Mus musculus: one gene and its partner. The protein of the gene in region 1 interacts with the protein of each later gene in a biochemical or structural test. Links are inferred from orthologs where the notes say so. Each region holds a gene or a part of one and is shown on either strand. Other genes may lie near its edges.

Region 1 (7,619 bases):
GCAACAACTGCGGATAGTCTTCAGTATGGCTCTCGCTCTTGTATGTGCTTAGTGACTTGTTCGTGCTGTCAACATACCTGTTCCCCTCTGTAGATGACATATTCAGCATATGCCAGCCCATTGACACTTGGTCTACCGATGACTGAGTGATGGCCTGGGGGTGCATGGGCCATTTTCATGGTGCTGAATTGCAGGAAGGACTTTCCAAGGGTCACTCTACAGAAAAGCATTTGTCTAAAGGGAGAACAAAAACAAATGAAAATGCTTTAAATCTTATTTTTAAAAATTGTTATTTATTTATATACACCACAAATGCTGACCCTCTCCAGGTCCCCCCTCCCAGAATTCCTCCCAACACTTTAAATCTTAAAATGTAACTGTTAGGTTTATTAGCTTTTTATAGAAAATTTCATAGAATGCAAGTTAATTGAAATGCTACTTTCAAGTCTGTGTGTAGTAATGGAATTAAATGTGATATACTGGTTTACTATTTAGCAATTCAATATCAAGTTAGATCAACAGTTTAAGGCAGTTTTGGAGTAGCCTGGAACTCTGTCATAGAAAATACCTGGTGTGAACTGTGCCAAGTACAAACAGACCCTGCTGAGAGCTGAGCTTTTACACGGACACACAAGCATAAAGGGAGGTGATAGCAACAGAGCCTGAGATTGACACTGTGAGCTGTGTGTGTGTGGCATGCTCAGAGGGAGGAAGCTATGTGTATGTGTATGTGTGTGTGTGTGTGTGTGTGTGTGTGTGTGTGTGTATGTGTGTGTGTGTGTGCGCAAGTGTGGCATGCTCAAGGGGAGGAGGACAGTCTCACATGCTGGCTGTGCCTTCTACCTTGTTAGAGACAGAGCTTCTTTGATGATCCTGCCCGTGTATAACCAGACTGGTCGGCCCGAGAGCTTTGCAGGGACTCTGGGCAAGTTTAAGGCTCACAAACCACTCATGCTATGCACCTGGCGTTTATATAGATTATGGGGACTCAAACTTAGGCCATCATGCTTGTGTGGCAAAAGTTTTTACCCTAAGCCATCTCTCCAGATAAGACTAGGCTTGACTCATCATGGGTAAATAGTAAAAACTGGGATGGCAGAGTAATACGAAAAGTGAACCAGGAACAAAAATATGTAGCTTAAATATATGACTGAAAATCTAATACCTAACTGAAATTGCAGCAGATGTTAAATGTTGTACAGGATAAGAAAAACTGGCAAGATGGAAATTATAAACTATAGCCACCAGTTTAAAAATACTTGGTACCTGTTTTTTCTTTTATTTTTCTGGTTTTGGTTTTTCAAGAGAAGGTTTTCTGTGTAATTCTGGCTGTTCTGGAATTCACTCTGTAGACCAACCTGGCCTCAGACTCACAGAGATCCCCCTGCCTCTGCCTTCTGAGTGCTGGAATTAAAGGTGTATGCCACCATGCCCAGCTGGCACCTGGTTTTCTAAATATAATTTTCCTGATTAAAGCCATGCATTCATTTCCACAGTTGCTTCTGCACTCTAAAGGCAGAAGTCTCTGACAAGGATACATGGCTGCAAAGTCCAAGGTAATTATTATCCATTCCTTTAAAAAAAGTCAACCCTGAAACACTACACATTTTAGCTATTTAGTACAATGAGTCACACTGTTAAATATAAACAGTTTGTAGTAATGGAGTATGAGCTTTGTGTTATTACTGAGTCCTGCCTCGCTGGCTTTTTTAGCTGGGTGTCACTGGTGACCCTTTGGGATAAAGGCTTGCTATCTAGTGTATTTTCTTGTAGGGAAAAGATAGGTCTCACTCTACATTATGAATAGCCTTTATTTATTTTATTTTCTATTGTATGACTGTTCTGCCTACATGTATGTATGTATGTATGTATGTGCTTAGTACCCAGAAAGGCCAGGAGGGACAGTGGCATTCCCTGACACGTGTACCTGGAGTTACAGATGGACGTTTGCCACCATGAGAATGCGGGAACTGACCCCAGACTGACTGCAAGAGCAACAGTGCTCTTACCTGCAGAGCCACCTCTGCAGCCCCCAAAGGAGGCTTCCTCAGGCCCACCTTTACTGTCATGGCAGCAGTCTGCTGTCAGTAAGTAGATTTTGTCACTGTCCATCTGTTATACAATACTTGACCTGACAGGCCTTGGTCTCCAGTCAGCACAAGAAGAAGCGAGCGAGCGAGCAGGTGCAGATGCTGCCTTGCTTCCTGCTTGTGGTATTTTGTAGATGCAACAACTAAGAAACACAGGGATGAGCACCTGGGGAGCAAATGTTGGCCCACACAAGGAGGAGCCACAGAAATCTACTCCTTCCTCCCCTGGAGCATTGCTGCTCTGACACAGCAGTTTCTATAGCGTCTCTGAAGGCATCTCATGCACTTGATAATGCAGCCATGGACAGCGTGCTCCCCGGGCTCACCGCTGAGTGCGCTCTGCCTCCTTCCTGCTTCCCAGGGACAACCCTTGCCAATGGCGTGCCAGCTGCAGGCGTTTGCTCAGGCTCCATTTCTAGGAGACCCTGGCTAGGACATAAACTTGTGTCTAATTTTACTGAGCGCCCATTAATCCTCAGCTAAGTTCACTTTGTTGTTCATTTTAGGTTTACTTTGTCTCCATGGGAGGCATGCTGGGGCATCGCTATCCTTAGGAATTTCTAACCACAGCGATCTAAGTGGAGAACAGTTTCCTTCTGACCGTATGGCATCCATCTTAGAACTGGGATGACCAGATAAAGAATAATGCAACTGCAGATAAATGTAAAGGCATTCGTTATAAGGGATTTTAAGATTACATTTTAAGTTATTAGCTGAATCATAAGATACCTTATTCACATAACTTATGAAAACATACAATTGAGTGGCTTAAACAGCAATGTATGGCACTAAAACTTGTCAAATACTCATGGTCGGTAAGGGCTGCCTGCTCCCCCTCAGGGGAGGTGATATATTATTGTTGCTTTGGTAAATGACCATGGTACAAAACTGCCATGGAGCTATTTACGAGTATACCTGTCTACAGCACTGCTCTCCATCTTAGAGAAGCTATTTGTAGGAGGCAGCAGTCGAGGCAGTATAGAACTGGTCAGAGTCCTGAGAAGAAGCAACTGTGTGTGCTCAGCTCTGAATGGGACATTTGCCATCAACCTTCTCCAAGGCTCAAGGAGCATTGTGGAGGACGGGGTGGAAAGAAGAGAAGAGCAAGCAGATAGGGTGGAGCTGTGACATGTGGCCTTAGGATAGCATGGCCACCAGAGTCATGAAGTCACAGCAGCTATGGTCACCTGCACTAGATCAAGCCCATCCGTACTCCAGCATGGTCGGGAGCATAAGGCTGCACCCCTAAGCGGAGGAGCTCCTGGTGAGTGAGGGCTGTCAGGAGAGGAAGTTTATTTTTCTTTAGGGGTACAGGTATGGAAAGTCACCCACACTCATGCACATTCCAGCAGCTCAAATGAGAGACTCTCCAAAACTCACAAGGACATGAAGGGGGAGGGGAAAGCATTGGCGGGATTAGGGGTAAGTATAGGGGGCTCAGGGTTGGATACAGTATGCATGTGTATGACTGCAAACCACACTAAATCCCGATCTTCTTGCTCTCCAGTGAGAAGAGAAACACCGCCTTCTCACGCGCTGCCATGATCATCTTTTCCAGCTTCGAGATTACAAAGTCCTACTTTAAAAAGCTGATATTCATCTGTTTGCTACCAATTCCCAAGCTGATATTCTGAGGCTGGGCTTTCCAAGGGGAATTATTATGGCCCTTAAATCAAACACACCACTAGCCGCATCGGCAATGAGACTTGAGTCTAGTCTCCTACCTTGACCCTGTATGTTCATGTATGACAGTGGCTAGAAGGGCTCCGTCTACTGTGAGCACTAAGAGGTCTCTGCACCTGACGGAGACTGAAATGCAGTTCCACTGCCACCTAGAGAGCGCATATGTATCTAGTCTGGACCACTGCACCCAGCGCTATAGTCAAAGGTTAGTTGAGGGTGACAACCATTGCAGTCAAGGCAGGACGCTCACCTGTGACATATATAACATGATCTGTCTTTGTGTGTGGGACAGCCTGTTCCTCCTCCAATTCCATAAACATACTGATTGCTTTTTGAGGAGTTTTCAGCAAAGTAAATTCCAGCTCCAAACATCCCTCCAATGTACGCATGTCGCTCATCAAACCCTTTATGAATAATTGCATTAATGAAAGGAGAACCTAAAAATATAAAGGTGGAAACATTAGTTTTTCAACACTTAGCCATTTACTATTTTCACTGAAATCTAGTAATGTTCACAAAGAAAAACAAAAACCAGAAAACTGCAGGTGGCTCAACTTGGAACTGGAGTTTAGCAGCAAATTCAGACAGTCACCGGCATGGCACAGGTTTTGGGAAGCCTGTGCTAACATGCAGAGCATTAGGAAATTAGGCATTATTTCAACCAAAAAAGTGCAAACAAGTCATTCCAACATAAGGTCAACAACGGACCCCAGTCTTCCCCCACTGCTGACAGCCCGATGCAGGCAGCGCTCACCGTGGAACAGCATGCGCTCATTGTGATGGTTGTGGTTCTCCTCAGACACCTCCTTTTGTCTGTGGCAGAATCGCTCCCTCAGCTTCTTATTCACAACTTTCTGAATCTTCATAAAGGACAAAAAATATTGTTCTTAATTAAATGTACATTTTGATTTGAAAGGACATGTAGTTTTTCCTTTGGTGGTATCAATTTTGGGTTTTTGACTGACACATTATCTAAGTCACCCTATCAGTGGAATTCAGTTAATATGCTAGTGACACAGTTATGTGGTGTCTCCTTGCTGCTTTCTGTGTGCCCATGAATGTGAAGCCAGAACCAACACTGAGAGTCTTGCTCTTACTCTGCACCTTATGTGAGATGGGTCCCTCACGGAGCCTAGGCTTGCTGCTGGCTAGACTAACTGACCAGTGGAGCTTTAGGGTCTCCCACCTCCATCTCCCAGCGTTGAGACAATGGTGCACACCACTGTGCCTAGGCTGTACCTGAGTGCTGGGGGCTCCAACTCAGCTCCCTAGAGTTTGTGTAGCATGCATTTTATCACTAAGCCAAACCAACCAACCAACCAACCAACCAACCGCTCATGGGTTATTGTAAGTCAATTAAGAAAGGACTAAACCAGTTTTTAGCAGATGTAATTAACCTTCAAGATAACCTCTGAAAAAGCAGATAATGGCAACATAGTTTTTTTTTCCTGTGATTTAAGAGATAAATGCATTCTGATCTCATCAATAACAAATAGATTGACAATCCAGATCTTTAAAAATGCAGTTTTCAAGTGATTTAAAATGAAGTTACTGCTGTTGAGGGTCCAAATCTGAGGAGATAACAGGCGGGGCTGCTGTGGTGCTGACCCCAGCGGCCTTTATGAGACCTTCGGGGCTTTGCTGTCTCACTGTGCTGTGGTTTCTAGCCAGGATGGTCTTGATGTTAGAGGTTGTAGTGAAGAGAACAGCATTTGATTTTAGGACAATGAATAAGTGTCTTTCACAATCTGAATTTTTCTTCCCAAATTCCTAGAATTCATTTAACTGTGTTAGTTTTGCAGTCCGATTCCCCCAGAACAACCAGCAGGCTTACTCGAATGACGTTGTATCTGTTGAAGATGCCGCCAGCGTTCCCACCGTCTCTGTGCTCTCGAATAGTGCTCTGCATCTGTAGGGCAAAGGGAAACAATTAACTCCATCAGAGCCAGAAGAAAGCATTCCTTCTGCGGTCTCTAGATAGTTCTTCCATCTGTTTCCCTGGTGAGTCTGAGTCTCAATCAGGAGCTCACTACAAACTTATTTTAACAAATTTAATGAGCATTTGTACTGAGAATATAGTCATAAATACTAATGAAAGCATTTTCTGATACAAATTTTGAAAGATATTTTTTATAGACATAACAGGGAAACTGAAAAATAATAGCACTTTAAAAATGTATAATTACTTTGTAATTAAGAATGAAAAGAAATTGAATAAATCAAACTAAAATGATATTCAATTGATACCACATTAGATAAATGCTAAAAATAAATATTTTAAAAATATTTTTGTTTCATTTTATCTCAGTAGTCTTTGGAATCTTGATACAGCAACTCAGGCAAGGGAAGCTGAGTAAACTTCACAATGAACAGAATAACCTTCTGAGCACTACAAACTCTCCCACTCTCAAACTTTAATAATTATTATGGAAAAACCTTTAGTGTCTTGGGCTATGGGCAGAACATCTGCTAAGCATGTGTGAGACCTTAGGTTTCTAGGCAGCATCACAAAAATGCCCCAAATTTCTGACACCTGAGCTCTCTACCCATGGCTCCATCTGCAAGGATGTGTAGCCTGTATCTTACACGACCAGAACTTACTATGGAGACAACCAGACCATAAGGCCCTAGAAGTCATAACATCTTTCTGATAACCTAACGCAAACTGAAACCATCCTGTGCTCCCAAATGTGACTTCCTAGCATTGAATGGAGATGATATGGGCACTAGTTAAAAAAAATAAACAAAACAAACAAAAGAAATCCTTAACTGCAGGCAAACCCATGTCTGCTTGGTGTTTGTATAATAATGGAATGAGGGAGCTTAATCACAATAATGGAGTTAGACATTGCATTAGGGGCAAGAAATATAAGCCATCAGCACAAGGGAAATTTCTTCCTTTTTTAAAAAAGATTTATGTGAGTACACTGTCGCTGTCCTCAGACACACCAGAAGAGGGCATCCTCTCCCATTACAGATGGTTGTGAGCTACCATGAGGTTGCTAGGAATTGAACTCAGGACCTCTGGAAGAGCAGACTGCTGAGCCATCTCTCCCGCCTGCTCTCACAGGAAGAATGTCTATGTCATCTTTCTACAAGGAGGTTCAAAGTAGTCTTATTATATAATGCTTAGAATAATTCTGATTATGGAAATTAACTGAGATAGACTCTTCTTTTATCATGTAATCAACATGAGAAAAATGTGACAATCAGGCACATTACTAAAAAACACTAATTACATAAACAAACAACCCCCAAAACAAACAAACAAACAACAAAAACCCTAGAAAGTGTTTTCTGTCTATGAAGCAAGATTCTTGCCCCATATCAATCTTAGGTGCATTTTACTGTATGAAAATGCTTTAAAAAGGTTCTTACTTACATGACTTAAAACTGACAAAATCTATAGAACAAAAATATGGAGCTATTCGCACATAGGCTTGTGACGTAAATGCAATGTGTATGGTTTTAGTCTACAGTCACATTTAAAGGCTGGCTGCTGCCTCCGGCTGAGTAGCAGGCCACGTGACCCTGTAAACAAAGTAAGATGAGTTCTTTCCCCTGGAAAGACCAGTCTTAACAGAACTTGGGCAAAGAAAAAAGTTCTGATGTCTGTTACCTCTTCTTCTACTGATTGATATTCTTTATCTTCTGGAGCAAGATCTAGCAAAATAGTTCCCTGATTCACACAGTGAAAAGTCAAATATGGATTGGTTCCTGTAGAAGAGAAAAACAAGAATACAAAGCACATGTCCATATCACTTGGCTTCCACACATTTATGGGAAACTTGGCTATAAATAGCTGACAGCTCAGAGCAATCTACACTATTTTCAATCTCCACCCCA
Region 2 (3,756 bases), on another chromosome or scaffold:
TAATTTTAAGCCAGCCAAACTTTTTAAAGATCCACCGTCCCTAGATAATAAACTTGAATAAAATATTGTTTCTTTAAGGAAAAAAAAAGGCGAATCAAAGAAAAAAGATGAACATATCACAATAGAAATAAAAATATAAATGTCAAATTATATACAGTTGGACATTTTCTGCTTATCCTATTTAAAGTTAAGGTGTAATGAAATAAGAGTTACTCAAACAGAATACACTATATAGAAAACATATCAATAGGGGGACTACAAACCTTATTATGTGTATCTGTTTACTTACATATGTCTCTATTATAAACACAAGAAAAATGAGTAGGGGTCAGATGGGATTTAACAAACACATCTTAAAACTTCTTAAGAAAGATTCCCAAATTCACAAGTATGTAACTGTTACAATGTGTCAATTTTTATACTTCATCATCAAATCAGTTTTAAAAGTCTAAGTTAAGCTTGGAAATAAGTGTTCTGTCAAAACCCAGTTCAGTTAAGTGGGGTTCCATACTTTTGAGGGATCTTCTTGCCTTGTGTATGACTGCCCTTAAGAAGCCCCATCCTGTGACTCTATTTACTTTTGTCTCCGTCCTTATACTTAAGTGTAAGGCTTTAAATTCCTTCTCTGCAAAGTGGGCGTTGTATTGATTTCATTAACTCATGAGATACAAATGTCAATTTATATTTATATGTAATACATGTATTCTCATCTAACAGATGTTTCAGGCTGGCAGACATTCTATAAATAAGAAAGTCCTCTTATTAACTGGTGAGTGACCTTTGCCAAGTTATCCCTATGCTTTTGTTACTTTGCTCTAGCCAGCCTCTGTAATTGGACAACTCCAAACATTTTAATTAGCAGGCCTTTAACAACAGGCTTTGTATTAACTAACTAGAAAGGTAAATGAGAGTATACAAAGAAGCAAAGGAAGCTGTAGACTAGTGTAAACAGTGTGTATGCTCAAAAAGACTGTTTCTAATCCACCCAGCAGTTACCCAAGTTCAGACTCTGTGATCAAGAAGGCAACCAAGCAAGGAGGTAGAAAAGACTCGGATCTTCCATCTCTCATACTGATAGGGAAATGTGATAAGTCCTTCAAACTCATATATGGCTGACAGAAAATATGTTTTAAACAGATGGATATGAAAAATTCTTCCTATTATTTTCTTCTTCAAAGTCAAGGAATCATGTTGGATCCAAAAAATAAAACAAAACAAACCCTCCAACAGTTTCAAAGTGGCACTTTTACTAAATGGCATGTCTCCTACAAAAAAAAAAAAATCATTTATGTTTGCATTCCTGTTATCTAATGAACAGTTATTTGGGACATTTCCCCATGACTACAATTCGACTCAGTTCTTAAACAGCACAAAACAGAAACTTTCAAACGTTTAATAACAGGGTTTTCATTCTTTCCCCATTACACACGCCCAATTAAGACATAAATAAACTCTATGATATCCAAGACCCAAGCAAACATATCCAAAACTCCATCTTTACTGTAGCAGTTACTCTTGAGTTTTCTCTAAAATGAGATTTACTTCACCTATTTTCAAGTGTTTCTACAGCTCCCAGACGCTTTTCACGCTCTGCTAGTATGTGTGGGTCGTTTTCTTAATTTGTTCTTTAATATGCCATGTTCTTTAAAAGTCTAATGATACAGATCATTTATTGTTATGTTCTACGCATTCAACTTCTATGACAATACGTGCCTTTCAATGCCCAAGCTCCAGGTGCACATCTAGTTTGCAAAAGAACACACACACACACACACACACATACACAGATAAAATGTAGTTGTCAGAATGCGTGTGCTAACTTACAGTGGGGAAACATCTTACCTAATTATAGAGGACGGTTCCATTTCCACATCCTCAAAAACAATGTCACATAGCCCTTTCTCTTTAAAAAAAAAAAAAAAAAAAAGTCCAGAAAATAAGACAGTGACAACAATGGGGATCCCGTGCGCTCTCAGATGGGGTGGAGGGTTAAGGAGAAAACTCCACATCCAGCAAGCAGAACAAAGCGACTGCCGGAGCTCTCAAGATGCACCCGGCTTGGGAGGCCCAACTGGTATCCCGACACCTCAGGCTGGTTTCGGGTTTGGGGAGCCATCAAAACAAGAACGCTCGGCGGCTTCCGCCAGCGCGAGGAGGAGGGGACGACTCCGGGCACTGGGCAAGACCCAGAGGCACAGCCGCGGCGGCGGCGGCGGCGGCAGGGCAGGCGGAAGATAGCATGCAGCCCGTGGCCGACTGAGGCCCGGTCGAGCCCGCTGGAGCTGCCCGCAGCCTGGCCTGCCTGCGCAGTAATGGCCGGGGCCGCGCCCGTCACAGTCCGGGCTGCGCCAGCTCGGCCTCCCTCCGCGCGCCCGTCCGGGCCGCGCTGGCCAAGGGCGTCCCCGTCCTACCGGCCCCCGACCCGCCGCCGCCCGCCGCGGACTCCGAGCGCCGCCTCGCAGCCAACGAAGCCGCAGTGCCCCGCCGAGGCCCGCAGCCCACGGCCCCCCGCGCTCCTCACCGGTCCGGCCCGGAGCCCACCTCTCGGCCGCCGCCGCAGCCACCTCGCAGTCTTTTCTCCTCCGCTTCGGAGCCCGCAGCGGACGGGGACGCGCGCGGCCGTCACGTGACCGCCCGGCGCTCAAGGGGCGGGGCCGCGCCGGCGGAAGCCACGCCCCCTCACCGTGATCCCGCGCGCGGCGGCCCTGGCTGGCGGTCCCCACGCTGGCTGCTGCTCTTCTCTGTCCCTTGCTGCGACCGGGCTGCTCCTTGTCCCTGTTCCGGTCCTCCCTCACCCTCTGCGTGGCGCATCTTGTGGCCTCCTGGTTCTGAACTGGTGGAGGTCCATCTAGGTGGCTTGTGGGAGGAAGCTAGACCTTCAGTACCAGGAAGAAGAGCCTTTCCAAAACTCAGCCTTGGGTCAAGTCCTATGTTTCCTTTGGCCGTGCCCTTGGAGAGACTACCGCTTGTTCCTTATACAAAAAAGGCACAAGAAAAGTCACGGCGTGGACTGGATGGTCCCCGAGATGCTCCAATTTATTCACCTCACAAATGGCCAGATATGTAATGGGAGAGGGGGTGTGCTGGGGTGTCTTTTAAACCCTAACAGCATAGGAAGCTAGAAGAAGAAATCGTCCCGCGAATCTAGAATAAATTTCATGGGTTAGTTTTATGGCAAGCATATGGTGTTACACATCAAAATCTAGTCCTTGTTCATTTTAACCGGCACATGATCTTTTTCAGAACAGTTTTCTCTACTTGAAGTTGCACAAAATGGACCAGAGAACCTTTTCACCTTTGAAAGTATTTCCGCATTCTGTAACTGTTTGCATTGTGCTTGCAACAATGTTGCATTTTGAGGTTACATCCACTGTTTGAATTCAGGACTGAAAAATGTACTGTGCACCTATTTATAGGGTTTCAAGGCCACTGATCCAAAGGAAGAGCTCATCTGCTTAACATTAATAGCTGTAAATCCAGAGCATGGGTTCGGGTTATTCATTCAGTTGTTATAGGAAATATTATATGAACTTTTATAGCCTGAAGAGAAAAGGTTGTACATCAATGTACGTTGAAAGGGATAAGACATTGAATAGGTGAGTCGATGTGAGCAAGCATGTGGGTCTATTTCATAGGCTTCAGATGTTAAAATATTCTTAATTTCAAAGGGATCTAGCGGTAGGAGGCTGATTCACCTTACTTGAGGATCTGGGTTCAATCCCTAGTACCATTGAGGGAAGGGGTTGGGGGGATTAA

The links.
Region 2: the proteins of Tnks (region 1) and Rnf146 form a complex in vitro, tested with the Homo sapiens proteins (3 studies listed by BioGRID and IntAct, with this or other methods). The link is inferred for Mus musculus from reciprocal best matches to the Homo sapiens genes TNKS and RNF146.

The regions. Positions count from the first base shown.
Region 1 is NC_000074.6:34,834,361-34,841,979, forward strand, and holds part of Tnks (poly [ADP-ribose] polymerase tankyrase-1), read right to left. Parts: intron 7,491-7,619; coding exon 7,393-7,490; intron 5,683-7,392; coding exon 5,608-5,682; intron 4,634-5,607; coding exon 4,528-4,633; intron 4,211-4,527; coding exon 4,024-4,210; intron 235-4,023; coding exon 78-234; intron 1-77.
Region 2 is NC_000076.6:29,359,443-29,363,198, forward strand, and holds the start of Rnf146 (E3 ubiquitin-protein ligase RNF146), read right to left. Parts: upstream 2,262-3,756; intron 2,228-2,261; coding exon of another isoform or gene 1,954-2,227; intron 1,904-1,953; 5' UTR 1,843-1,903; intron 1-1,842. Other genes in the region: Gm30698 (verprolin-like), read left to right, coding at 1,954-2,227, 2,262-3,067. UniProt on the Homo sapiens protein: E3 ubiquitin-protein ligase that specifically binds poly-ADP-ribosylated (PARsylated) proteins and mediates their ubiquitination and subsequent degradation. May regulate many important biological processes, such as cell survival and DNA damage response.